Oryzias latipes: one gene and its partners. The protein of the gene in region 7 interacts with the protein of the main gene of each other region in a pairwise test. Links are inferred from orthologs where the notes say so. Each region holds a gene or a part of one and is shown on either strand. Other genes may lie near its edges. The genes, in order: med31, zbtb16, wac, trip10, tank, trafd1 and htt.

Region 1 (3,973 bases), on a different chromosome or scaffold from region 7:
CTTGTTGATAATAAAACTTTATCACTCAAACATGTAAAGAGTGTTATTTTATGGTCCACATTCAAATCCTTTAGGTCAGGGGTGCTCATTATGTCGATCACGAAGGATGGAACTGTAGATTGCAGGTCATCAAAAATAAGAAATAAATATCAAAATATATTTTTTAAAAATCTGTCAGTGAATCATCATCCTCGGCAGGAAAGATGTCACTTGATTGACATGCAGAACAGCCAATTGAACGTCCTCTGAAGCATACGTCACTGTGTTTAACTACAGCGAGTGCACTTTCTTATTTCTTTCTTCCTGCTGCACACAAATACATCAAACTCAAGGCCCCAACTGACAGTGTGTTCAGTGAATGTCTCAGGCAACGGAGAGGGATGCAGTGCTAGAGGACAAATCCTCATGGGAGGACAAACCGGACCATAACTGAAGCTGCTGATATCAAGAAGTGCTACCAATGGCTAGAAAGGGCTGGCCTACAGGACAGCACTGAAGCACTCATCCTGGCAGCCCAGGAACAAACCCTGAACACCAGAGCAATGGAGGCTCAGATCTACCACACCAGACAAGACCCAAGGTGTAGGCTGTGCAAAGAGGCGCCTGAAACAATCCAGCACATAACTGCAGGGTGTAAGATGCTGGCAGGAAAAGCACAGCCTAGTAAGATTGTGGAGCGCCACAATCACACATGGGCCACAATCATACATACATACATGGAGCGCCACAATCATTCATACAGCAATCATACGGCCAGATGCTGAACTACAAGATCAGAAATCCTATGAATCAAGTGTGAAACATTTTGATTACCTAAAGTTTTTGCATATTCTCATATTTTTCAGTGTTCAGAGAAAAACATTAACATCAGACTGGATGAAAAATAACAAAACATTTTCCGTTTACTGCTTTTTGATCATTTAATTTCTGTGTTTTTCCAATAAATAACAAAGACTCAAATAAACATGGACGTTTTTTATTCACTGTTCAAATTATTTCTGTTTCATGATGACATTTAATGTTTATTTCTTCAGACTTCAAACACTATATAACCAAAAGTATGATTAACAAGTATTTTTTATTTGTGTTGGGTATTTTCTGTCTCAGTTTTTGTTGTCCGTGTGCTGAACAACAAAGTTTTGTTGCAAAAGAAAAAAAGCCGTAAAGTAGATAGCAGGTGTCGCAAAGTCGGAAGTGGTTTTGCCCGAGTAGTTCACTTACGGCTGATGAAAGCTAAACAAAAGCAGCTGGACTGAAGATTTGTTAAACATTTAAACACATATAAGGATTTTCTGCTCTTTCTGGAAGCCCTGCTCAGTTTGTGGACAGTAAATAGTTACTGTTCGGGTCGATACCATGGAAACAGGTTTGTAGCTAAACCTATTTTTGTTAGCTTTGGTTCTTCTAAGTCTAACTATATGGGAGGATGATGAATGTCTTCATTATTCTTGTGTTTTTATTTGACATTTGAGAAACTGTGTATTTCTAACTTTTGTAAAAGACTTAAAGCTGTGTTGATGCTTTTATTAACCTGAGTTCGTGCGTACAACAAGCCGAAAATTTTTCGTAAATAATAAATTAATAATGTCGGCGATTAACGCGGGGATTTTTTCGCTGTAGTCCGTAAAATAAGTAATATGACATTTATGAGAAAGTTTAAAAAGATAGAATATGAAGCTCGTCCATCTTGACACATTTTTCATAAAGAAGCCAAAGTAAACCCCGACATACTAGTACAGGTCGCTTGAGCAGGAATAAGTAAGATCTTCAGACTGCATATAATTCATAATTTCAAAAACGTTGGGCTAATTTTAGCAAACTGCTAACTCTCTTTAACCAATAAATAAACCAAAGACCGACATAAGGACAACACACTAGTTCACGTGGGTTTAATAAAGCTCTATCAGGTTTGAATAACTTTGTAAATGTGAGATTTTATCAGACATACTACCTTAACTACCCCATTAACTCAATGATTCACCGGGGACAGTGGTCTCCAGCTCCATATCGGTACCACTCTTCCTTTTTTCTGTTAATCAGGTGTTTATGAAGGTTTTATTTTGAAAAACGACGTCCACTGCTCCACATCTGTCTGTGACGCTTGATGTTTGCCTCAGTCAGGCATTTTACCCACCTTCAGCTGCTAACGCACATTACTACAACGCTAAATAAAAACCCTCATTCTATTGAATATTACACAAACAAGCGTCAGGCCCTCTTAAAGGTTTCTCTGGGCAGAAAGCACCGTCAGTGAGGAAAAGGAAGAGATAGACACAACCGGGACACAGGGGTCAACGAATCAGTCACTGGGGGGTTTGGTTGGCCATCAAAGGACTCCAGCGAGGAGGATGTAAATCTCTAGCTCAGCACCAGTTGGACAGAACTGAAGAAACTGCTCGGGTGAGAGGCGAAACGTCTTCAAACCAGAAACTTTGTCCAGTTGAATACTTTTGGAACTTTTCATTTTATCATGACCTGAATGACTGAGATTCCACCCCAACATGGAACCAGGAGTTCTACTCAAAACATAGATTTCTGGTGACAGTTGTTCCCGCACTCACTGTGCGGTGACTGACCCTCTAAGGTTTTCAGGACACTGCTAGTAAAATTGTGTACTGGTTGAACTCACATTTACTTTAGTCAGACGTTTTTGTCGGTCGCATCTTTTTGTTTGGTTGTATTTAGTAGCCGAACCTCAGAGGCTCGTTTGTGAAAATGTAGTCTGACAATAAACCAGTTCTTGCGTCGCGCTTATATAGTTTCTAACTTATCACCCAGTCCACTGGTCTAACACAGGAAATGTGTTTGGGGAAATAAAACTCATTTACAGTGTTAGCATAACACACGAATCATGGAAATATCAGAGCAGCAAAAAAATAATAATAATAATAACTGCAGCAGGTCGTCAGGCCCAAACTGCTTATTGTTTCAGAATTCGCAGTGTTTTTTACTTTTGTGTGATGCTGTCTTTTCTGGTCCAGATGAGCAGGCCCGGCACCGCTTCCAGGCCGAGCTGGAGTTTGTGCAGTGTTTGGCAAATCCGTACTACCTGAACTGTAAGTCTCTTCATCTTTTCTTTAACATTTGTTCTTTAACTTCCCTGAAAAGTGAAGCCAGAAACTACATTCCTTAACTGGAAGTTCGTTTGGTTGGAGGCTTGAAATCCTTCAATAATCTGAAGCCCTGCAAGGCCTCAACACGAATATTCCATGAAAACCTGTTTTTATGACTGCCCAATGAAAAGAAGGAACAAAAAGCTCTGAAAAGCCAAAAATATTACTCCAATTTTCATGTTTTTCCATATTATGTATCACATTAAAGATCAGATTCACCTATTTTACTCATTTAGTTTTTTTTTTTTTTTTTTCCTGACCTTTCTTCATTAAAGACAGAAATGTGTTTGTTTAAACTGATAAATATCCTCACTTCTGTATGTTGCTCAGTGTTGGGGTAATGGATTACAAAGTAACAAATTACTGTAATTTAATTACTTTTGTCAGTAACGGTAGAACATAACAAATTACAGCTCATATTCTGTAATGAATTACAGTTACTGGACTATAGAAACCCTTGTTACTTTGTTACTTAGATTTTGCAGGCTTTGACTTTTTCTCTGTTAATTGAAATGAAACAGAGACTAATTATAAAAAAAGACGGAATTACTGGCACATAGCAGCATGGGGGATCGGTCAAAGTACAGACATCCCCTCATTGCTGCAGTCGCTTTGCTTTCCAAACTGGCTCAAAGATGAAAAAGACAAAAAGAGATCCTGCAAGGAGTCTTGTTATCCCTGAGGAGCAGCAGGTGAGCAGCAGAGCAGAGACTCGTGTACTGATGTGTCAGTAGCAAGTGAAACAACCTTAAAGTCGGCTCTTTGGTGTGAAAGACACGACCCGGATCCTTCCTGGGAGTTGTTTTTTTTTTTAAAGTATTAATTCAGCCTTTCTTACTTTATTGTTAACTGTAAGCTAC
Region 2 (4,098 bases), on a different chromosome or scaffold from region 7:
CACATATTGACCCCTCAATTCTCAATCAAACCTGTAGATTAGATTTCAAGAGGTCTATGAGGCGTCTTGGCGTGAATTATTATTAATATTATAAATATGAAACTTTCCTGTGGAAGTTTGGGAGAATGTTCTTCATATTAATGAGCAGATCAAGAGGAAAAAGCCAAATGAGCTGCCAAATCTTGTAATTGGTCATAGAACTGGATAAATGAGGCCATCAATGGGCTCAGGCAGAATGTGGGTCAGTGGATGGATTTAACTCTTTCTACTCTGTGCCCTCTTTTTTTATTTCCATAAAATAAATGAAATAAATCTGTGTTTTGTTGGTCATCTTAGGTGCATGCTGGTGACCGGATCTTAATTTAACCAGGCTTTCATTATGGGTCAAACAGGTTTCAGGAATGAGGTGGAGCAACATGTTGCCCTGTTAGCTTGAATTATAAAATGTACCCACAGACACCCATTCATTCAGGATTTTCAACATTTGCAAGCACAGGCGCTCTCTGGGGCCGTGTTGTGGGTTTTTGCCTCATCTTGCTGTCTTTTTCGCCCATTTTTTGGCCACTGCTCTCCTGCTCCTGTCTGTGATGAGAATACTGAGTAAGATGCTATTTGAGGCTGCTGACGGTCTTTGTGAACCCAGACGCAGTGAGAGCCTACAATTCAGCCTTGTTTAACTGGTGTATATCCCCATCAGATAAGCAAATGAAGACATCTCTTTAACATAACATATGCTGGACCTATTGGTATGCAGGATGAGCCTGTTGGACAGCTAACAAATTGTCTCTCTTCAGAAAATCCAATCAGTGCCGTCTGCTAATATAAGAACGCCACTAAGTATTCTTCCCCATTCATGTGTTTGTAATTGAAGCCTGCAGAAGTCTGATATTAAACACTTTTTTAGAAGAAATGTTCCTCTTTAAAGACGCACTCTGATGAAAATTGTGTTTTTCTTGTCATATTTTTCTGATGATGGACATGTATAAAGAAAATTAAGCTCAAAATTGCATTTCTTAGTATTTATTTATCCAAATTGTTGTGAATCTGGAGCAGACAATAAATGCAGTTTGAAAAAGAGCTTACCGGTATTTGTTATATAGAAAATACGCCGAGCCACAAGCTCCCTGTTCCGCTCCACTCTGATGCATCCACTTGCAGATGCATCCACTAGATGTACGTCTAGCTCCGAGCTGGCACCGGGCTCAAAAGTGTACAGCCATGTAGCTCCTATGTTAATCAGTGTATTTGTTGCTCAGGTAATGGTAGGTTGGGGTTTTGAGGGGTAGTAAGCTAGCGGGAGAGCATGTTGTGACACAGATGAGTGACAGGAAGTGGGGGTTGGGTTGCTCCATGCCAAAATTTCTAATGAAGAGGTGAATTTCTAATAAAATACAGCCGCTTTGCAGAAACTGTCCTAGACAACAACATAAATCAAATCAAACCATTTTTTTATATAGCACTTTTTAAATATAACACAACACAAAGTGCTTCACACAATTTTTTTATACATATATAAAAACAAGCAGAATATTGAAATAAAGGACAATATACATTTTTGGAATTGTAAATAAAAAAATGTTTCCACCGTTGACATTTCTCTTTTTTTTTCCATCCAGGTTTGACTTTGTTTACAAAAACAGCTAAAATCTCTGCTGAGCGGGGAAAGCGAGCCTCATGAGTCGGCCTGGCAGGTTACATCAATATCATGGATTTAACTAAAATGGGTATGATCCAGCTCCAGAACCCCAACCATCCCACTGCCCTGCTGCAGAAGGCCAACCAGATGCGTTTGGCTGGGACTCTGTGCGATGTGGTCATCATGGTCGACAGCCAGGAGTTTCACGCTCACCGGACTGTGCTTGCCTGCACCAGCAAAATGTTTGAGATCCTCTTCCACCGCAGCAGCCAGCATTATACCCTGGACTTTCTTTCACCAAAGACTTTTCAGCAGATTTTGGAGTATGCTTACACTGCCACTCTTCAAGCCAAGGTGGAGGACTTGGATGACCTTCTGTATGCAGCCGAGATCCTGGAGATTGAATACTTGGAGGAGCAATGCCTCAAGATCCTGGAAACCATCCAGTCCTCAGATGAGAATGATGTGGATGTCAACGCTAATGATGGGAGCACAGAAGACGATGAGGAGCGCAAAGGCCAAAATGGAGCGAAGAACTCCAAAAAGCATTCCCTGGAGACTCCCAACCTGTCAGGAGCTCAGCAAGCCTCCAACATGCCTGGCATGGTTGACCAGAGTCCCTCTGTCTCCACCTCCTACAGTGTTTCCAACCTGAGTCCCACCAAAGCCGCTGTGGACAGTCTGATGAGCATCGGCCAGTCTCTGCTCCAGCAGGGCTTTGGTGGTGAGCAACCCGTCCACATTAATTCCCACCACCTGATGACCGACATCAAGACTGAGATGATGCAGGTGGACATGAGTGGCAATGGACATGACAGTCCTCAGAATATGGAGTCCAGCGTCTCGAGCAACGGAGAGCGAAGCGGAGAGGACAGGAACCGAGATGGTCCCGGAACGCCAACGAGGAGCAGCGTGATCACCAGCGCTCGAGAACTGCATTATATCCGTGATGACAACATGGGCGACCAGCAAGCCGAAGTCAGCCAGATGGGGCTGGAAGCAATGGCAGGAATGACTGAGAAACACCTGGCCTCACTATATTCGCTTCCTGTCAATCATAAATCCGATGCCATGATGTCCATGCCGGTGTCCATGGCTTCTGGTCTCCCCATGTCCCCTGCCCTGGCGATGTCCATGGACTTCAGTGCGTATGGGGGGCTGCTGCCGCAAAGCTTCATCCAGAGAGAGTTCTTCAGCAAGCTCGGGGAGCTGGCAGTGGGGATGAAACCGGACGGCAGGAACCAGCATGAACGTTGTAATGTTTGCGGCGCAGAGCTACCAGATAATGAAGCCGTGGAGCAGCACAGGTAAGCTTCCTTCCCTCTCCAGTCTGTCTCCTTTGTCTTTGAGTTTATCCCATTTCAAAACTCATATAGGTGCATCTTCTGCATTTTGATTTTAAAATTACACACTTTTACATAATTGACGATTTCAATGGTTTTATAAACATATTGTCACTTTTTAGGCTTAAACTATTTAAAATGGGTGAAGCGGTTTTCTTTTGTTCTACTTGATCGACTTTAACAACAATTGACCCAATCCTTTTATGTTTCTGTTTTATTGCACTTGCATGAGTTCCATTTACAGTCACATAAAGCCCAGTTTTGTGCAGTCGCCAGCTCAGAACCGGAGATTTACTCCTTTAGTAGCTGCCAAGCTTGCCCAGGTGACTGCTGAAGCAATGCTGTCTTAACATTGTCCAAGACCATTAGTCACACCTTCCAAGATGTGGGCGGCAGCTATCACACACACTTACCAATGTGGAGCTCCCTCATCCAGGACCCTGCTCCCCTCCCTTTTCCCATAACTGCACAAGGGGGGCCCTTATTAGCTTGATAATTGGAGTAGACGGTCAGCTCAGGAAATGAGTGCTGAACCCGAGACAAGGAGGTAGTTCTAGGACAGGAGAGTGGCAGCTGCGCAGCACTGTTTCAGTCGCTGCATATAAATAAAGCTTTAAGGCTGAGTAATTTTACAACACATTCAGAAAACCTCCTATTGATCACAGAGCAGCAGTAGTCTCCTACCTTTTTTTACTTTTTCAGACTACGGACCGCTTTATTGTCAGACAATATTTTCACGGACGTATAAGGCCAAAGTGGCCATCCGTTTATTTTATTTGTGTGGGTAAAGTTTATCTTTACCCTCTGTAAAATGTCTGCAGCTGCTTTAAACTTTGTTTGTAAACTAGATTTTATGAAGGAACCATCCACATGTGATTTAGATTTACCTTTAACCCATAACTGTCAAAGTGGAAGCTAAGAATGGAAGCTAACTTCAGCTTTGTCTGACTTTTAAGGTGCAATGAATTTAAAAAACAAAAAGGGAAAGCGGTCACAAAAACTGGTATTATCTAAATACCATAATTATATATTATATATTAATATAATTAATGTGAATACACCATTAAAACAACTTTATTTGCAGCATCCTCAGAAGATTAGACAGCCAGTTAATGAATA
Region 3 (2,552 bases), on a different chromosome or scaffold from region 7:
CCTCCATTCGTCACCACCAAATTGGTCATTGTGGTTTCACTGTAACCCTTGTGCTATCCTAGGCACTTTAACGTTGGGAGTTGGGTCATCTAGACCCACAAGACAGTGCGCCAAACCTTTTTTCTTCAATGATTTGTGAACTTCAATGGTGTCCATGGATTACATGAAATCTTTCCACCTTTATACACCTTTGACATGGTAGGGAGAACACGTCAATGTAAGGGTGGGGTCATCTAAGATAGCACAAGGGTTAAAGCGCACATTCCATGGCCATGTTTTAAACAAAGAACCCAAAAACGGCAGTAGAAACGTATGTAGCTATTCACGAACATGATAGTTTTGAACGCGGAAGCTCAAAATGCACGCTTACACAGACTTTTCATTGAAAGTGCGTTGCCGAGGACGCTGTGAACGTAGCTTCAGGCTTTAGTCATTTTCTCACAAACAAGAAAAAAACAAAATGAGCTGAAGCTCAAAGGAGCATTGAACACAACACTGCCTTGGAGAGGCATCCTTTATTTTTTGTCAATATATTTCAGGAAACATTATACAAAGCAATGACATGGTCAGCTCAACTAAATGTTGTGTTGGTGGGCATAAAGCAGCAGCTGACAGTGATGAATATGGGGGAGGAGCTAAAGGATATTGACTAAATCTGGGCCTTTTGATCCGGCGGGATGACAGCAAACATGGACCTGCGGGTGATGAGGCTTAAGACTTTCAACAAGGCACTAGCATATAAACCAAAGCAGACACTCCAACAAAACACTCAGCGCTCACTTTAGTTTAACATGTTTATTACATTACATACATTTCACATTTGAGCTTTGACCCCTGGTTGCCCTGCGTTCGACCGGAGAGGCGCCCCACCTCCACCCGCTTTTGAGCTCCTGACGGGTGATGCATGGCTTATTACTGCAACCCACACGTGAAAGCTGGCCTTCTCTAAAACCCCGCTGCTGTTAGCGACGGTACAAAGGAATGAAGACAGTCAGCGTGCAGAGCTGACGAACAAAAGGGAACAAAACGGAAAGAAAGGAGTTCAACTCCAAAGAGGTCTGCTGAGGGTGAAGGAATGGTCCAAAGCAGCACGCTCCTCGTTTGGAATCCATTGCACCACCAGGAACTGTCTTTTCGTCACCCGTCCTCCTCAAAGTGGGGCGCCAGAAACTGCTGACGGATCACTGAAGCGCTGTGAGCGTTTACAGAACACCTGCACGGAGGAGGCCTCCGCCCACACCCACAGGTGGGAGAGGATCTAAAAAGGTCAAACCGATGACCCCGGTGAGGCCAGCTCCTCCGTTCACGTTGGGCACGGCGCTTCAATGATCCGTGACGTGACAACGGAAGTCTGCAGATGAGTGACGGAGAGGCTGGCGCCTCGGCTGATTAGTCTGGATGTCAAAAGCTTTGATAGGCATGGCTTTCCATGGATTCAATCTACAAAACATATTTACAACATAGATAACATCTACAAGAAATCTACATGTTAATCCACCGTGGTTTTTTTTTTTTTTTTTTTACAAAAACACAGTCTTGTAAATCAGCCCCTCCCTGACCCCACCCACCACACCAGCAGCTCCTTGTCGCCCCCCTGTGGTCTGCCAGCAGGACTGCAGCTCCCGTGTGTTAAGACTGGGTTCGGGAGGAACCGTTTTTCTTGCCGGCTTCCTAGTATGTGCAATGACAACCCCGCTCCCCACAACCTCCGGACACCCCCCCAAACCCCCCACCAAAAGTTCTCACACCATGAAGGAATTCTGGTTCTTCAACTTTTCAAGTTCTTTGATTTGCTGTCTCAAAAACAATATCCTGTAAGGGAGGGGGCAGAAGAACAGAGAGCAGGAGTGAGATGGGGGGGTTTGGACGCAGCAACAGAAAGCGTGCGGACGACTCACCTCTGCTCGCGCAACGTCGCCTGAATTTCACAGACCCGGACGAGGGAGCGCAGGTTTTTGAGCTCAGTGCAGTTCTCCGACATGCATATGCTGCCCATGGTGTGAGCCTCCTCGCGGAGTCTGGACGCCTTTGGGGAGACGGAGGCAAACTTAAATGGGGCGGAGCCAAGAAGGAGGGAGGGGAGGTGTGCGGTGGACACTGACCTGCTTCTCCACGTGTTCTGCGGGCCAGCCCTGCACATGCTTGATGAGGCTCTCATTGAAATGGGCCGCAAGGGAGGGGGTGAAGGAACAGGAGGGCCGGGATGTAGAAGAGGCCGGGGGAGCGGAGGCGGAGTTGGGGGCGTTGCTGCTGGAGGCGACGTGGTTGGAACCTGGAGACGGACTCCTCTGACTGCTACATGGAGGGGAAAAAAACATGCAGTCATACAAGATGTTTCTGCAGAAGCTTTGAAACGGAGGAAAAAACCCACAACCCACAGTTCTGCCGTTTTATTTATATTCTGATTCTGAAGGAAGTTTTACTTTGGAAAACTACTGGATTCTCTCCACTACATCCAACTTATTCTTGATGCAAGTCCAATATCTGCAGCTGCTTTAAACTTTATTAGTACACTGGATTTTATGTGGGTTCCACTAAAATGAGACATGGAG
Region 4 (3,500 bases), on a different chromosome or scaffold from region 7:
CACTTCCTTTTGCAACTCTTTGCAGATTTCTTCAAACTTCTGTTGTAACCTCTTCCTACGCTGCTCTGGAGGTAAGTGGCCAAAGTCTTCAGTCACTGTCGGCTGGAAGAGGTCACAGGAAGGGTGGGTTAACATGAACTCCGGCCTACATTCGACATTTTCCCAAGAAAAGGCCAAAAACCACACATTTGAGGAGAAGAAACACACCAAGTGGTTTCAGATCAACTCAAACTTTAAATTTAAAACTCAAGGTGTTACTGAGCTGAAGACAAAACAGCCACCCATGAATCATAAAGGTTGAATGTAAAGCCCAACCCACAACAGCAACACTAAGTCCCGTTATCTTTGGCAGAGTAAAAATAAAAATCTTAGTGCACAATCTCAACTCATTTTTGATGTCAGCAAGCATGGAGTTAAATCCCTTAATAATTATTTTATGGTTGTATTATGATATCCACACATGCATTATGTTTTTGTTGCAACCGCAAACTAAATGTATTCATTTGCAAAGAAAAAAGAAGAACAAATGCAGAATATTTTTGTGCTTTTTACATACTTGTCCTCTTGTAAAAAAAAAAAAAAAATTGTTTTTCACACTTCAAACATATAAATGAACCCTATAACCTCTGACTTTTGATATGAATCGAGCTAAACTAATCCACCAATCAGCACCTCTCTGCTGACCACAGCCAATCAGCACACCACCATATACTGGTTAATCAGATTTTAAAACATTTCACGAATTAATGAAAACAAATTTTTTCTTCTTTTTTTTTCTTGTAGTCAATTTTCTAAAGCTGAGACTTGGTCTATCTCTGTCACTGTGAACAGTGGAAGGGGGCAGATGACCTTGGAAGTGTGGCAAATGAGAACAGTAGAGTGGAAGGCCATTACAAATGAAAGTCAAAAATGTTTGTTAATAACATTAAAAAAGCAGTTATTTTAGTCGAGATGCCACTACTAATTCTTAAAGAAGCTTGTATTGGTGATTTAAATAATGATGATACTAATATTGACCCAGAAATTGAGGGGGCAAAGCTTTTTGCTAATGGGGGCAGAGGTCCCTAGCCCTCCTGTAGCTCCACCCCTGACTGTCAACTGTTTCATGTTACTCAATTTTCCTTCTGGAAAATTGTTATTGGGCGTGGAAAATTTCTCTATCTGCTTTAGTAGAACCAAAAAGTTGATTTTGAATAATTTAAATGGCTTTTATTTTTCCAAAACTAAATTATGTTTTCACAAATTTCTCTGCAGAGATCGGTAACCTTAAACTAAAGAATGAGCCATTTCAATTTCACTATGTTTTGTTTAATCTATTTTAATTCATACGTTTAACATTTTTCAATCTGTAGACAGGAGAAAAGTGCTGATTAGTGGATATTTTTAGATTAAATGTGTCAAAAGTCAGACGTTGAAACTTGCATTTGTATTTCTTTGCACGCACTCATAGAAAATACTTGTGTGTGGATGTGCCATTATGAAAACCTGACCAAATTTTACCAGACAAAATTTCTTCCATCTGTATGTCTTTTTCACACAGTCTCACAATATTTTTTGCATACACAAATCTTTTTTTATACAAGCATTTCCAAAGAAGAAAAATATCCTGCTCTGCTTAATGTAAATATGAACAAATGTTGCTTGCATATGCAAAAATTACTTGCTTGCAAGTGGAGGTCTCATTTTGCACGTGTTAAATAATTATGGAAAGAATAAAACTCCATGAACAAGTTTCAGTCCCCTCTTCCGCCACCAGATGGCCACCTTTTCATTACAGAACTGGACAGTTATTCTGAGGTACTAGGTCTTCAAAAAAAAAAGGGGGGGGGGGGGCTGTGTAAAGGAAAAGTGGCCATTTTTGTGTTTTGAACAAATGAAACCCCCACACCAGTTTTTTTTTCTGTCCACATTACCAAGGCCTTCTCTGGAGTCACTTTCTGAGGGGGAAAAAACAAACAAAACAGCACATGTATGGAACAATCTTACACCAGAAGTTGTGACCAGCCTATAATTATAGTTTTCTTTACTTTAATGCATATTTCTGCCATAAGCTCTACATGGTTTAAGACCAATTCGTGGAAAATGTCATCTAAAGAATTCAGTGATCCTTGCAGAGGCCAAATTGACACCCGAGCACAGGAGGCGAGGTCTCCGGGAACCCTGATCACCTCCTTGTCACTCACCGATCTCCTGAGTGTCCGGAATGAAGAGATTCTGGGTTTGACTGTCTTATTGATCTCCTTCAAACAGTACGACAGGGGGTCCCGGCCAAACTTGGGGGAAGTTGATCCATTAGAGGGTGAGGGGGTTGGTGGTGTGGAGAAAGGAGTGAGTGTGGAGGAAGAGAACTGAGCAAGACCAAAAGTACCAGCACCCGAGAGTAAGGTATGCAGGCATAGGTCAGAGGAGGAGGAGAGGGGCAGCAGAGAAATGGGGGGGGGGGGACAAAAAAAACAACAGGGTAACAAGGGGAAAGAAAAAGACACTGTCAACACCTCAGTGCACCACAGTGCCTGGGACAATACTGCAACAAACCCAGCACATGAGCCACAGCAGCATGAAAGAACAAACACACATCTCTGGCTCTTCTAAGCAACATGTTGAACAAAACAAGAAAAAAATTAGGCCAATCCAGACCAAGTCACCTAATTCTCCCTACACTTTTATTCCAAAAATACAATAACTACAGTTTCATGGCAACAAAATCTGTTTCAGGTAATTTTTGACTTGACGTATACTTTGAGATAAGTTAAGAAGGTCAACTATTTCTTTCTTTTTATGTCCTATTTTATTTTCAAGACTAAATATAAATCAGGCCATCATACTCTGCTTTCCATTACAAGAGCTTGCTTGTGTCTGATGGTGTAGCGCTCCCTGAATAGTTCATGTTTGTGTCACAAACTTGTGTTTCCTTCCTGCTGCCCAAAAGGCAACTGGAACGAGTTCCTACCAAACAACAATGCATACAAGGAAATTTCCCAGGAGGATGGAAAAAAAAGACCGAAATAATAAAAACATATGAAATCTCTGACATTTAAAAGAAAAAGAGAAAAAAAAGTGATAAATGCTGAACCTGTGTGCAGCAGGTTTTCGGCTGTCAGTCTAATATTTTGCATTGCCTCACTAAATTTGTAAGACTAATACACAGTATCAAATTTGCCTACCTGTGTTATTTACATTTATACTTATACACATTAATAAAAGGAAAAGGCTCCTTTAAGTATTTTTTACAAATCCAAGATATAAGTAATTCCTATATGGTTGGAAAACAGAGGTTGTTTGTGGTTTATATAAAGTTACAGGAATGTCTTTTATCAAGACCATTTTCAAATTTCATGCTCATACCTACATTTCACAGTAATTTTAAATATTTCCAAATGTAAACATTAGTATCATTTTAAATATGGTAACAAATATACATATATATTATATAATATATATGTTTAGCATTTAAATCTACATGTGTTACGTAATAAAACACATGAGCTACTTGTCAATTA
Region 5 (4,105 bases), on a different chromosome or scaffold from region 7:
ATTTTCTTACAATCTGTAACCATTTTTAAGTAAAACATGTTTATAAGGCATTGTTTCTGGAAAAAAGTGCATTAAAACTTTAGTGTTTATGTGCATATTTGTCATAGAGGCTCCACTTTAGCTACAATTGGAATAAATGACAAATGGCATATACTTATATGGCGCACTACTACCTTCTTTTAAACTCCATAGGGCTTCGACAGTCACAGTCCCATACACATTCCCACGCTGATGGCAGCTGGGGTTCGGAAACTTTGACACATGGTTGGGCAAGGTGGGAACCAAACCTGCGATCTTTTGATCAAGGGTTGACCACTCTACCTCTGCAATACGGTCGCCTCAACTGATAGAGAGTTCTATACAATTTATTTCTAGATTAGCAGACATTTATATGCACTTTTTCTGTGTTATCCCTTGGCAAATAGTTATCTATGTAAGTGTACTACAAGTAGTGAAGCAGAATACTTGAAATTTACTTTTTATAGACTATTTATATAATGTAAACTTTAGTATTCAGAGAGTTACTTCACTTCCTATACTACATGGTTTATAGTTCACTTGCTATACTTACACACAAGTATACTTAACAAAATACTCTTCAAGTGTACCACTTTTGGCTAAGGGGTGAAACAAAAAGGGCATGCTCACTGTAATAAACAAAATATAATGTTTTGCGACTAAAAATGTTTATGAGGTTATATAAGAAAAAAGTGCATTAAACCTTTCGATTTTATTTGTTCTAGAGACTGCACTTTAGAAACAAATGTAATCACTTTGTCTGTTTATTTTATAAATTTGCTGACAGTTGTATGCACTTCACATTGATACACACTTTTTCTGTGGTAGCCCTTAGCAAAAAGAGGTCCATAAACGCATATTCCACAATATATATCTATATATTGTAAGCTTAGAATGTTGCAATTTAGTATTCTTCAGAAATATTCAGTTAGTTTACTTCCTACACTGCATAGTCTATAGTATACTTGCCATACTTATACTAAAGCATACTTAATAAAATAAACTTCAGTGTTTTGCTAAGGGAGGAAACAATAAAGGACGTGCTGATTGTAATAAACAGATAATGTAATGTTTTGCAAAAAAGGAAAAAAAAAGTGTTTATGAGGTTATATAAGAAAAAAGTTTGTGGAGAATAATGAGCACAAGAGAAGTCGAGTTTGAGGAGAGTTTTCACATGCAGCCAGTTTGCAGACGCGTAGGCTGGAAGAACCCTCAACCATCTAACCACCCTGCGCCTCTCCGAGACGCCCGCTGATTGGCTGGAGCCGCGTGAAGGCGGAAGTCCACAGAGCAGGGGATTCCCCGAGGGAAGTTCCCAACTCCAAAGGGCTATGTAAAACACAGTGTGCCATATCCTCTCTAGCGCTCGCTAACTTTGCATCTCAGTGTTAAGCGGCGCCGCTGCGGTGGTGTCAAAACAACAAACTTCAAAAAGCAACTCGAATGAAGGTAAAGGAAGGCTCGTTCTGGCCGTTTTTCACTCGCCTTGTTGGTTTTTTGGGGTGCCTCCATTCCCAGTGTAGCTGTCAGTTCGAAGAACACGGAACTACTACCCGGAGAACTTTTTCATGACACTTTGAAGTGAACCTCCTCTTCCTCGGGAGGACTTGGGTGCTGCTGCTGCTGCTGTGGTGAGGCGTCCCTGGCAGATGAGTGGGACTCACAATTATGGACGTCGCCTGAATAATTGATGAAGAGCTCATAAGGAAGACTGCCTCATCCTCCTCAGTTTTGTAATGCAGCCGCTCAAAACGTCTGTTGCAACAGTAAGTGTGGAGCTGCTTTTCTGTAAGAACACTATTAGTTACTCTGTAGTTGTGTGTTGTTCACAAAAACTACGCCTTTGAGGATTTGTCAACATTTTGCTGCATTTTAACAGTTGACCTAGATGTTTAAAAAGGGACACACTTCCTTACATTTTTAAGTGTATTACAGATGTTATTACAAAATTGATCTCTAGTCAAGAAATTCCATAATTTTGCTATAGTTTTTTGTTTTTTAAATAATTATTAATATTTTAGTGTCAGATAAAGGCATTCTGAAATGCTTTGGTATTCTTGATATTGTTTTATTTAAAGAGGTTCAATGCTCTTTTTATGGTAGAAACTGTGACTTTTCCCCCCCTGTGGGCTACCCGTAGGGCTCATGTCTGCTGTGTCAGTGATGATCCTGGGGCACGCGGCATGGATAGGAACATTGGGGACCAGCTCAACAAAGCTTTTGAAGCTTATCGCCAGGTCTCCATCGAAAAGGACAATGCTAAAAAGGAGTTACAGAAAATGGTAGGAGCGACCGATACGCTTGTATTTGCTTCAATTGACTCTTTCCCAGAAGAATAACACATTTGATTGCGTTTGCAGTCAGAATATTACGAGCGATACACTCAAGGACTTCAAAAGAAGATAGAGGACCAGCAGAGGCAGATCTCTGAACTTACAGCTAAACTCTCAGCAATGAGGCAGCCCTCAGGTTAGTGCTTCTCCATGTAAACTTTGGGTCTATTTTTCCCAAGTCCCCCTTAAAGACACAAGTAACCAAAATTTCTACTTGGTCTATATCATCCAGCTAACACCCCATTTTCTTGCTCCATTTGACCCTTAGGAGAGATGAAATGTGAGCCTTGCAACCAACTCCTGGAAGGGGCCAGCACTTACAAAACAGTGCAGTTCCCGGTATGTTTCGGGTTGCATTATCTTTTTCCACCTCCTCATGAAATGAAGGATGTCCATCCAGTAAATGACAAGCTTCCTCTCTCTGACTTAGAAGCGTCAAGTACTTCTGCTTAAATTTCCTGATTCTATGCAAAAGATTGTTACGGGAAATGTCCAGTTACTGCAGTGGTTTCTGTGAGTTATGATACATCGGTGATTATTACTTTTTAATCGCTCTTGTATTGTCTGGGATCGTACTGTAGGTAACTTTTTTCAAGCGATTACCTCACGGATATTGCGGCAGAAGCACACGAGCTGTTTATGATAGTAAAAAAAGCATAAAGAAGGAAATAATCTGGAGTTTTCCAGTCTCCAGCATGCTGAGGTCATTTGTTTTTATTGGCTTTGATGTGACCTGCTGTACTTTTGTAAACCAGAGAGAGTGTGTCTGCTTTACTTCACCAGATGGTGCTAGAGGATAATTTCACCCTTCAGCTCTGCAGCATCAGCTTTTTTTTGTTGCTTTTTTCTGTGCAGTCTACAGGAAAAGCTTTCATGCTTATGATGTATGGTTAAAGTGCACATGTATCACCAGTTCGACCTCAGATAATTGCTGTTAATGACCACTACAGTTGCCTGTGTCTTTTTTTCCAGGAGAAAATTGGCTCTGTAGCTGTTGCTCCTAATTTACCAGTCAGCGGCAGCGTTGATTAGTATGTGCCAATTTCTGCAAACCTTTTTCCCTCTATTTTTCACCAATCACTTACATGCAATTTGAACAATTGACACTTAATAATGACTGGTTTATTGCACTGATCTTATCATCCAGTCAGGAGATGCTCGAAGCATTTGAGGCCGTTCAAGGCAAATTCCGACAGATCCGGTCTCTCACCAGAAGGCAAAAAGACCACCTGAAAAGATTCCATGGAGGAAGCGAGGCGTCAAACGGTAACATTTGTCCTTCTTTTCCCCCCCATCCTGATTCTAAACAGATTGGTTTTTGACGTTTGGTTGAGGATCATTTAGAAACTACCACCTGAAGAGTAAATGAGGATTTTTCAATGAAATTTGACCCTTAAAAATAAAATAACTTGGAAAAACAGCTGTAATATTTGCACAAAAATGTTAATTCTGCGTCATAAATGATTTATTTTTCATGCACAACAGGACGTTGTTAAAGAATCCAAAAAAACACACATTTTAGCTTTTAAGTTGATCCTAAAAGTTGTTTCTTGCAACATTTCTAAGTTGACTTTGTTTCCTCCCTTAGTAATAAATGCAGAGATGGTTGTAACTCCATCTCTGGGCCACAATTCTGCTTCAGCTATTTACCTGCTGGTCTGCTTAAATTCCATTTATATGGAAGGGTCAGTTTTCCTTGTATGAATAATTGAATGTCTCAACCAGCTAGGACGTGCCACATGATAATGATGTTT
Region 6 (4,236 bases), on a different chromosome or scaffold from region 7:
CGAATGACCAAATGTCCTCCTTACGTACAAGGAAGTGCAACAGGAAGGCTTTCAAAAAAGGTAGTAAGCTTGTAAGAGCACAAAAACGAAGGTAGGCGGAAATCTGAACAGGAGTTTAGTGTATAAACCTACAAGATAAATCTACTTTTATGGTTCTTGTAATATTTCCACGCTTCACAATTCAATATAAAGAGATGCAGCGAGTCATCAACAACAAGAAGGCCACAAATAAGGCAGGGAGTAGCTGTTTTGATTTAGCTTCACAATATTGTTTTGCACATTTTCTAAAAATGCTAAAATATGAGACAGCATACAAAGTTACATTTGTCTTTTTTTTCCATTTTTTTTTAGTTCATATCAGCAGCTTATAATGCCTCTTTGACGGAGATATAGAGGGGATCGATATGGTAGAAACAATCATGCAAACAGAATGATCAGTAATGTCGTTTTATTTGATTTCTACGGTGATGATTCATTGTGTACAGACACACGTTTGTCCCTGTGCAGCTAATGCTCTTGCCGAATGTTTTCCAGAGTGTGATCTGCAAAAGTTGGACCTAAACTTTTATCAGAGAATTATTTTGCTAATGGATTAAATGCATCACAAAGAACTAAGACGTGGGCTTCATCATGCATTCTTTAGAGAAAGTGTTTTTTAAACCTAAACATGGACGGCAAAACTAACAGTTTGAGCACATGTTTAAATCGTTTTCTTCTTTTAGGGCACTAGTTAAAATCTCAAGTATTCTTTCTTTTTACAGAATATTCAAAAGGTTTGTCATTTACTCAGTTTTCTTTTATTCTGTATTTCTTTTTACAGCATGTTTTAAATGTTCTGTTACATCTTATTATCAAATTGTAAAGTGGTGACTTTACCTCTGAAATCTTGCAAGAAAAAGGGCTTGGAAGCAAATTTCCATTGTTTTTACAATATTTGTCTTGTCTTTGAGTTGAAGTTTGTAGGATTTCTACAACACATTCAAATATTTGCTGTACATATAATCAGTGTTTTATCTTAACAGAACTGTGCCTTACAATAAATTGTCCGACATGACATTATTGGTGAATCAAAATTTCAATAAAACATATTAGACAATACAGTGGGGAATCATGTCTTTTAAAATTCATGTCATGTTTTTCTTTCTCGTAGTTCTATGCAATGTCTATCAACATTATATATAATACATAATAGTAAACTCCATAAAAGTGTAAATTTTGAGAATTTGACTCAAGAATGCACCATTTAAAATTAATTTGTAGCGGAAAAACACGAATAAAAAAAAAGCATATTGAAGATACTTGCGATGTTGGATGTAGGATAAAGCATTACGCAGGATCTTTAAATCACCAATCAATTTTGAGTATTCACCTTGTGTTAATTTATGCCCTGACTTGTGTCTTGCGGGAAAAAAAAACCTTTAGATTTTGGTTACAGCTTTGTGTTACTCATAAAACCGATGACTCGTTTACTCTGTGATTGAGAGCGAGAATACGTGTAAACCGTATTTAGACATTCTGAAAAAGTCTGTGCCTGTAAGCCTTTACCCGGGGAGGAGATTAGGAGGGAGAAGGCCAGACGAAGGAAGAGGAAATGACAGTTTAGACTGGTTTTCATCTTTATCAAGTGAAAATATCCAACTGACAAAAGGTAAAATAAGAAACTACTATTATGAATTTTCGTTATACACAAAATCTATCGTAACATTAGCTGTATGACGAGATGTTCGTAAACTGTAGATGGATTTAGTTAGGTAATCATAATGCTACGCTAGCTAGCCCAATACAGACAAAACATTGTATTTTCTATTTAACTCAAGTCGTCCAAACCCCATTTTTGGTTAAGGTTCGTGTTCGGTGTTCTTCGGAATAAAATATTTACTGTCTTCCTGTAAACCATAAGAAGGGCTAAGTGAAACGGTTCTCGATTGGTTTCATTTTTTCCAAAACGATAGCCGCTCTTTAAACAAACCCTAAGCCTAGCCTAGCCCTATGATATAATAACAAAATGTTATAACTTATACGGTTACAGCTACACTACTAAAATAAATGTTAAAACCCAGAAGAAGATAAAATGTCCAGCTCGTTGGAGCAAAGATGAATGTCCCTTTCTGTTTTATGTTTATGGCTATTTGTTAAAGGTTTTTCTGAAGTCATGATGGCAGACGACGAAAACACCATCATGTATTGTGGCAACTGGTAAGTATGAATTTATTGTGACGCGAGTTTCTAATGCAGTTCTTCTTGGTGGCTAGCAGCCCCTTCTATTGTTGTTGTTTTTTGTTTTTAAGTAAACGTGACATCCCAGAGGCCAATTTCACCACCCACGAGATTCACTGTCGCAGAAACATAGCACTGTGTGACGTGTGCCAGGAGCCCGTACCCCGATCCGACCTCGAGGAGCACAAGCTGCAAGAACACACGGAGGTAGATATCTGAACTTAACACCAGCATGTACACGGATGCGGGGCCATTGGCTCTTTATCCAGTGATTTTGGGGAGGATCTTCCAGATGAAGCGCGATTGGGATGGTCATTTCCCCCTGATTCTAATGGGACTTTGAAAATATTGAGTGTCATCCAAAGTCTAAAATAATAGGGAGGGTGGGGCAATGCATTTCATTCAGGTAAACTTACCACTGTGCTGCAGGTAAATCCTCATAAATCCACTAATTGTAACTTTAAGATGCACTCAAATGAAAATCGTACTTTAAACACGTTCCTGTAGGATTTTTCTCTTGATGGATGACACATATAAATAAAATTAAGCTTAAAACTGCCTTTCTGGGTATTTTTCTTTATTCAAATCCTTGCGAATCAGGAGCAGAAAAAAAAAGGCTTGTTGTAATGTAGGACCTACTGCAGCAAGCCACCAGCTCCATGCTCTGCTCCATTCCGATGCATCCACATGTAGACACACAGATCCACGTATGTCTTTGTTTTCCTCGTCCAAGGTTGGCATTTGGGTCAAAACAGCTGGATGGCTCCAATATTGCTGGCCATTTTTGTTCCACCAGTAATGTTAGGTTGGATGTGTGAGGGCTAATAGCTTTTAAACAGATGGCTTATATACGGAAGTGGGGGCTGACTTGTTCTGCCGCAGAATTCCTTCATCAACTCAGAAGCAAATTTCGAATGCACTACTACAGAAACTACGTCCTAGAAAAAATAATAAATAAATAATTTTCGATTTTGGCTAAAAATTACATGCTTATAACTATAAGGCCACTGAAAACACTTCTGAAATAGATCAAAAGATGATTGAAGCGGGACTTTAAGCTTAAATTTTGAAACAGATATTTTCCGCTGCACCCACCAATGATATCAACTAAAGTTTGCTCTTAGAGAAATTATTGCAAAGTGAAACTCTTTAAAGTTTTCAATGTAAACTCCTTTTTTTTCCAGATTACATGCAAATGTGGAATGAAAGTTGAGAAAAATCATGTCGATGTTCATCAGGTATGGTCAGGAACAAAGATGCCTTTTTATCCATGCAAAGAATAACCAATGAATAATATGCAAATTCTTGTCTAAAAAGACTGTTTTGAGTAAAAGTACAGAATATTTTTCAGCTATGTTGTTATTTTATTTAAATGTTCCTGTTATTTGTTTCTTGCAGAATTCTGAATGCCCACAGCGACTGGTGTCCTGCCCGTACTGTGATCTGGAGCTTGCTTTTTCTCAGTCTAAGGAGCATGAGGACTATTGTGGTACACGGACTGAGCCTTGTCCACTCTGCAAGTGCAATGTGATGCTGCGTGAACAGGTTGTACATCCAGCCTTATGTGGAAGCCTCACACCACCTCAAGAGAAGAACAACAGCAGGATGAGCCGCACCGCAGCAGAGCGAGAGTCTTCCGATGCATGGTTTGAAGCTCACTCCATTCGAAACCTCCTCAGACCCCAAGAAAGGAGTCCGAAAAATAATAACATTGGTGCGTCAGCTCAACAGTCCTTTCCTCCTGCATTTAATCCTTCAATGTTCAACACAGCGAGAGAAACGCAGGCTTCAAGAGACTGGAAGAATGCTGCACCTCAAAACACAGGGTTTAGCCACTGTGAGTGCAATGTTTGCTTTATGTGTCGTGAGATGAGGCCATCAACATTATGTCTAGAACATTTAATTTAGATATTGAACTCATTCTTGCACTAGTAAAATCTGATTTCCTAAAATGGATGGGATAACATTTTCGGTTAATTGTAGGTCACAGTGATTTCCTGCATGGAAGCAGCAACAATG
Region 7 (4,162 bases):
ATGACTATATTTGTGAATTAATGCTCACGTTTAACACACTGGCAAAAGAAAAATACTTAATGTATAGATAAAACTGTAAAAAACATAAAAAGATCTTATGTACCTCACTCAATATAAACTTGAAATAATGCTCAATATCTGTTCTCAGCCCATGACGCTATCTGATTTTTAAAAAGATAAAACAAAATCCTAATTGTTGGCACCGAAACCCTCAACCAACCAACCATGTAGGATCCCCTGATAGGGAGGGGCAAGCAGGACATGTCCTCACAGTGCCCTACCCGCCAATTTTAACTGCACCCTTTAGTACAAATACCCTTCATCCCACTGTATGTGAAGATTTTTCGAGCCAACAGGTAGGTTTGTGACATTTGAGTGTGTGTGTGTGGACAGGCCCCGCCCCTTTTAGACTAACATTTACATCTACACCTACACCACCCAACATCCCTCTGTCTAAACCACAAAAGGGGTTTATTCAAATATACCTTGTGTATCAAACGATTCGTAGCCCCCTGCTGTAACAGTAATGTGTCAAACACAACACAGCTGTTTGCTCAGCTGTTTGACAAACAACCTCAGCCAAAACAAAAGCATTAAAATGTGTTGCATTAAAGTTTCAGAAATACAAATTTGGAGCAAACTAGATACAAAACAATGTCCAAGCATCAGACAATTTAATAAAAACAAAATAAATAAATAAACTAATTAAACAAAATCAGAACATTATTATAATAATGACAGCATTATAGTGGTGATAATATGGACAATACTAAAGTGTAGTTTTAATTGTTATTATTGGTTATGATGATAAAGATGATATGACAGATAATAATGGAAAAACTTGGATGACTTTTATCAATGTTCTTGTTTTATATATGTGTGTTTCTAGCTAAATAAAAATTTTCTTTAAATCTTTGTCAAAAAGTGAACTGCAAATACTCATTTTCAAGCATGTTTTGATATTTTAAAGGGATTGGTCTGGTCTTGTTATATTGAAAAAAACTTTTTGCTGATTTTTTTAGGTTGATTAAGTAACATTCTTTAAAAATAAAGAAATCAAGTCAAAATAATTGTTTTCTTATCTGACTATTTAAATGTACACTGTTCAGAGATTTTTTCTTTTATCGCTCCTTGTTAGGTTCAGCTAATTTAAACTATTATAATTGTATTTTACCAGATAATATTGTGCCTAAAACCAATGACAAAATGATGTTGCAGTCTGTGACGTCAGTGGTCCCGTGACAGCAACAGCAAAACACAGAAAAGGAGGGGGGAAACTAAAGCAGCTGCCAATTGGCTGTTGGTCCTGTCAATCAAAACAACTCCGAGATTGATTGGTTGCTGACTTTGCACCCTTCCTGTTTCAGCGAAGCTTTCGCAAATACCACTTCCTGGTGTGATTGGTCGGAGGAAAACGTCGTTGCATCAAAAGATGGCATATTTTAAACCCGCTTTCACTTCATTTTGTGACAAAACTAGAAGAAATTGAGGGACTTTTGGCAGTAAGAGGCGCGGGGGGCGTGTGGTAGCCGCTCGTCACGCTGCATATTATTCTCTGGCTGTCAGTGCTGTGCTAGCTTATAGCGCAGATAGTAAATATTAGCTTGTGGAGAAAGCACTCTCATTGTAAATAACGAAAATGGCTACCATGGAGAAACTTATGAAGGCCTTTGAGAGTCTAAAGTCGTTCCAACAACAGCAGGGACCGCCGACGGCCGAGGAACTTGTCCAGAAACAGTGAGTAGCCCCTCCGCTAACGGCTTTAGCCTAGCTTAGCTCCGCTGCAAGCAGGCAGCAAACCGGGATTTGACATCCTCTCTGTAGTCGTGCTTCAGTGCAAAGGGCGCCTGGACACGGATTTAAGGTCGGCTTTAGGTGCTCAAACGCAGAGAGGCAGGCTTCCCTCGGCTGCTCAGCCTCACATGAGTCCAGATCTGTTCCGACAGACTCAGATCTGGACTCACCTGTCAGGAATGAGAACTCGTCCACGAATCCAGGGAAGCTGCTGCATGTGTGTTTCTACCTTTTGGTCATGTCAGCTCCGACTATCTGGAGGCGTCCGTGTGCTGAGAAACATCGGACACGCGTGACTCGTTTCAGATCTGCATTGAAACAGACGCGCCTCCATGCGAAGCAACTAACTTCTGTGGACGCTGCTGTCTTCTGGGGGCCACAGCTCCTCTGAAAAGGCGACAAGTCGCTAAACTGTGGTCAGACCAGCTGAAAAGTGAGGTTATTAGAGTCTAAGAACCCTCCACCCTAAAGAGGAGAGGAACCATAACTCACCGAAAGGCCTTCATCTTTGATGTTGGCAGAACTGTTTGCTAACCTTTGGGCTGAAAGCTGTTGGAACGTCCGTCCAAGTTTCTGGGCATTTTTCCCAGCAGCCCCCGCTCTTGGTTCTTCTTTTGAACACACCTGATCCCAGGTAGTCAGTCGTAAGTAGAGCAGAGATCGCTGGAAGGTTGTAGGTCGCTGTCAGTTGCAGGCCATGAAATTATTCACTGAGGTTTTTATTTTAGTGTCAGAAAACGTTAAATGATGGCAGAGTTTGAGTGACGGCTCCGGTTGGAGTCTTTTCTGTGTTGAAAACCCGACTTTTGCCCTTTTGACCTGCATTCTCCTCATCTGCTGTTTCCTTCCCAGGAAAAAGGAGCAAGCTACGACAAAAAAAGACAGAGTGACCCACTGCCTGACAATATGTGAAAACATTATTGCCCAGTCACTGAGGTAGGAAGGAACATGTCTGTCTGACGTGTGTGAAAATTCAAACCAACGTAAAGTTCAAGGGAGTTTTGAAACATTTCAGTCAAATATTTCGTGTTGTTAGTCCTGTTTAGGCCTCAGAAGGACAAATAACTGAAGACTTTTTGTTAATTCTTAGAAAAGTGCTTTATTTTTTACTTTCAACTTTGATTTCTAAGGACAGGCAATTTTAATGGCTGTTTTACTTTTGACAGTGGAGCATTGCAGGGTTTTATTTCCTCAGTATTTCCTGCTTTTTGGTTCTGCTAGCTCTCCTCCCTAATGCTCATCCCATAAGGACGCTAATCTGCTCCGAGTCAAGATCGAGTCCTCTTCAAAGACTCCAGATCATTTTTTCAGTGTGCCACACTTTACCTGAAACAAGTATACTCTAGTCCAGGGCTGTCAAACTCATTTTCACCGAGGGCCACATCAGCATAGTGGCTGTCCTCAAAGGGCCAGATGTAACTTACACATGTAACTAAATAATGAAAAATAAAAGTACCCGTAATTTCCACTTTCAACCCTGCGGCTTATTCAGTTATGCGGCTAATTTATGCATTTTTTCTAATGACCGCTAGGGGGCGCTCGAGCAGAAAGGGTAAGAGTGAGACAGGAGAACGCGTTGTATGTGTCCAGGAAGACGCAATTTTAATGTAAATTCCTGCTTTGTGAATGAATAGCACGAACAGACCCTCATCATGGAAAACGCAAGAAGAAATCCATATGAGCAGCTTTCAAGGTCAAAGCAATCGTTAAAAGTAGTGTAAAAAAATCCACCATCACCAACGGGTTTGGAAAAGCCGCTCTGCTGCGTGACAGAGAGGACAGCGCATGGTTTCAGTGCACAGGAGGCGTGTGCCGTGCAGAAACGCGCCTATAAGTTACTGCTGCTCTCAGTGACTTTTTTTTCTCTCTCTCAGTGACTTATGTATGTTTTTATAAACCAGCCCTGTTAGTGCTCTTATTACCATGTTGCTGCCGCGTCACTGTTTGGAGTAGAGCTGTGACAGTGTGGGATTTTTGATCACCGCAGTGATGAAGCACCAAGAGTCGCGGTGTCGGGACTCTTGCGACCCCCCCCCCCCCCCCCCCCCGACACAACATCCTCCGGTGGGCGGCCGCATCGCGCTATAAAGAACGCACGCTGCTTGTAATGGAAATAAATACAATGGAAATTCCCCCAGAAGCCCTGAAGTTTGAACACAGGACTCACAGAAAAAGTAAATTATTAGCAAGGATGCTTGTGTTTTATTATAGTACAAATCCCCACCATGTGCAGAACTTTCAACAAAAAAACAGAACAAGGTGATGAGTCATCACCGCGGTTATCGTCATGGACAGTGTTTACGTCCTAATGTATAGTTGCCCGATGTGATATCTGATATTTCAGGTCCAATTCCCCCTAGATATGAAT

What was found.
Region 1: the proteins of htt (region 7) and med31 interact in binary tests that used the Homo sapiens proteins (3 or more experiments, as listed by UniProt). The link is inferred for Oryzias latipes from reciprocal best matches to the Homo sapiens genes HTT and MED31.
Region 2: the proteins of htt (region 7) and zbtb16 interact in binary tests that used the Homo sapiens proteins (3 or more experiments, as listed by UniProt). The link is inferred for Oryzias latipes from reciprocal best matches to the Homo sapiens genes HTT and ZBTB16.
Region 3: the proteins of htt (region 7) and wac interact in binary tests that used the Homo sapiens proteins (3 or more experiments, as listed by UniProt). The link is inferred for Oryzias latipes from reciprocal best matches to the Homo sapiens genes HTT and WAC.
Region 4: the proteins of htt (region 7) and trip10 interact in binary tests that used the Homo sapiens proteins (3 or more experiments, as listed by UniProt). The link is inferred for Oryzias latipes from reciprocal best matches to the Homo sapiens genes HTT and TRIP10.
Region 5: the proteins of htt (region 7) and tank interact in binary tests that used the Homo sapiens proteins (3 or more experiments, as listed by UniProt). The link is inferred for Oryzias latipes from reciprocal best matches to the Homo sapiens genes HTT and TANK.
Region 6: the proteins of htt (region 7) and trafd1 interact in binary tests that used the Homo sapiens proteins (3 or more experiments, as listed by UniProt). The link is inferred for Oryzias latipes from reciprocal best matches to the Homo sapiens genes HTT and TRAFD1.

The regions. Positions count from the first base shown.
Region 1 is NC_019872.2:23,702,807-23,706,779, forward strand, and holds the start of med31 (mediator of RNA polymerase II transcription subunit 31), read left to right. Parts: upstream 1-1,173; 5' UTR 1,174-1,356; coding exon 1,357-1,366; intron 1,367-2,981; coding exon 2,982-3,056; intron 3,057-3,973. UniProt on the Homo sapiens protein: Component of the Mediator complex, a coactivator involved in the regulated transcription of nearly all RNA polymerase II-dependent genes.
Region 2 is NC_019872.2:25,466,726-25,470,823, reverse strand, and holds the start of zbtb16 (zinc finger and BTB domain-containing protein 16), read left to right. Parts: upstream 1-1,298; 5' UTR 1,299-1,705; coding exon 1,706-2,943; intron 2,944-4,098. UniProt on the Homo sapiens protein: Acts as a transcriptional repressor. Transcriptional repression may be mediated through recruitment of histone deacetylases to target promoters. May play a role in myeloid maturation and in the development and/or maintenance of other differentiated tissues.
Region 3 is NC_019878.2:7,916,008-7,918,559, forward strand, and holds the end of wac (WW domain-containing adapter protein with coiled-coil), read right to left. Parts: intron 2,296-2,552; coding exon 2,103-2,295; intron 2,027-2,102; coding exon 1,899-2,026; intron 1,813-1,898; coding exon 1,743-1,812; 3' UTR 501-1,742; downstream 1-500.
Region 4 is NC_019866.2:8,490,394-8,493,893, reverse strand, and holds part of trip10 (cdc42-interacting protein 4), read right to left. Parts: intron 2,349-3,500; coding exon 2,184-2,348; intron 1,938-2,183; coding exon 1,914-1,937; intron 103-1,913; coding exon 1-102. UniProt on the Homo sapiens protein: Required for translocation of GLUT4 to the plasma membrane in response to insulin signaling. Required to coordinate membrane tubulation with reorganization of the actin cytoskeleton during endocytosis.
Region 5 is NC_019879.2:20,997,517-21,001,621, forward strand, and holds the start of tank (TRAF family member-associated NF-kappa-B activator), read left to right. Parts: upstream 1-1,305; 5' UTR 1,306-1,784; intron 1,785-2,158; 5' UTR 2,159-2,201; coding exon 2,202-2,300; intron 2,301-2,378; coding exon 2,379-2,487; intron 2,488-2,619; coding exon 2,620-2,690; intron 2,691-3,323; coding exon 3,324-3,382; intron 3,383-3,498; coding exon 3,499-3,617; intron 3,618-4,105.
Region 6 is NC_019867.2:12,247,697-12,251,932, forward strand, and holds the start of trafd1 (TRAF-type zinc finger domain-containing protein 1), read left to right. Parts: upstream 1-1,436; 5' UTR 1,437-1,648; intron 1,649-2,138; 5' UTR 2,139-2,152; coding exon 2,153-2,196; intron 2,197-2,288; coding exon 2,289-2,424; intron 2,425-3,401; coding exon 3,402-3,455; intron 3,456-3,615; coding exon 3,616-4,054; intron 4,055-4,200; coding exon 4,201-4,236. UniProt on the Homo sapiens protein: Negative feedback regulator that controls excessive innate immune responses. Regulates both Toll-like receptor 4 (TLR4) and DDX58/RIG1-like helicases (RLH) pathways.
Region 7 is NC_019859.2:35,201,256-35,205,417, reverse strand, and holds the start of htt (huntingtin), read left to right. Parts: upstream 1-1,362; 5' UTR 1,363-1,639; coding exon 1,640-1,737; intron 1,738-2,646; coding exon 2,647-2,730; intron 2,731-4,162.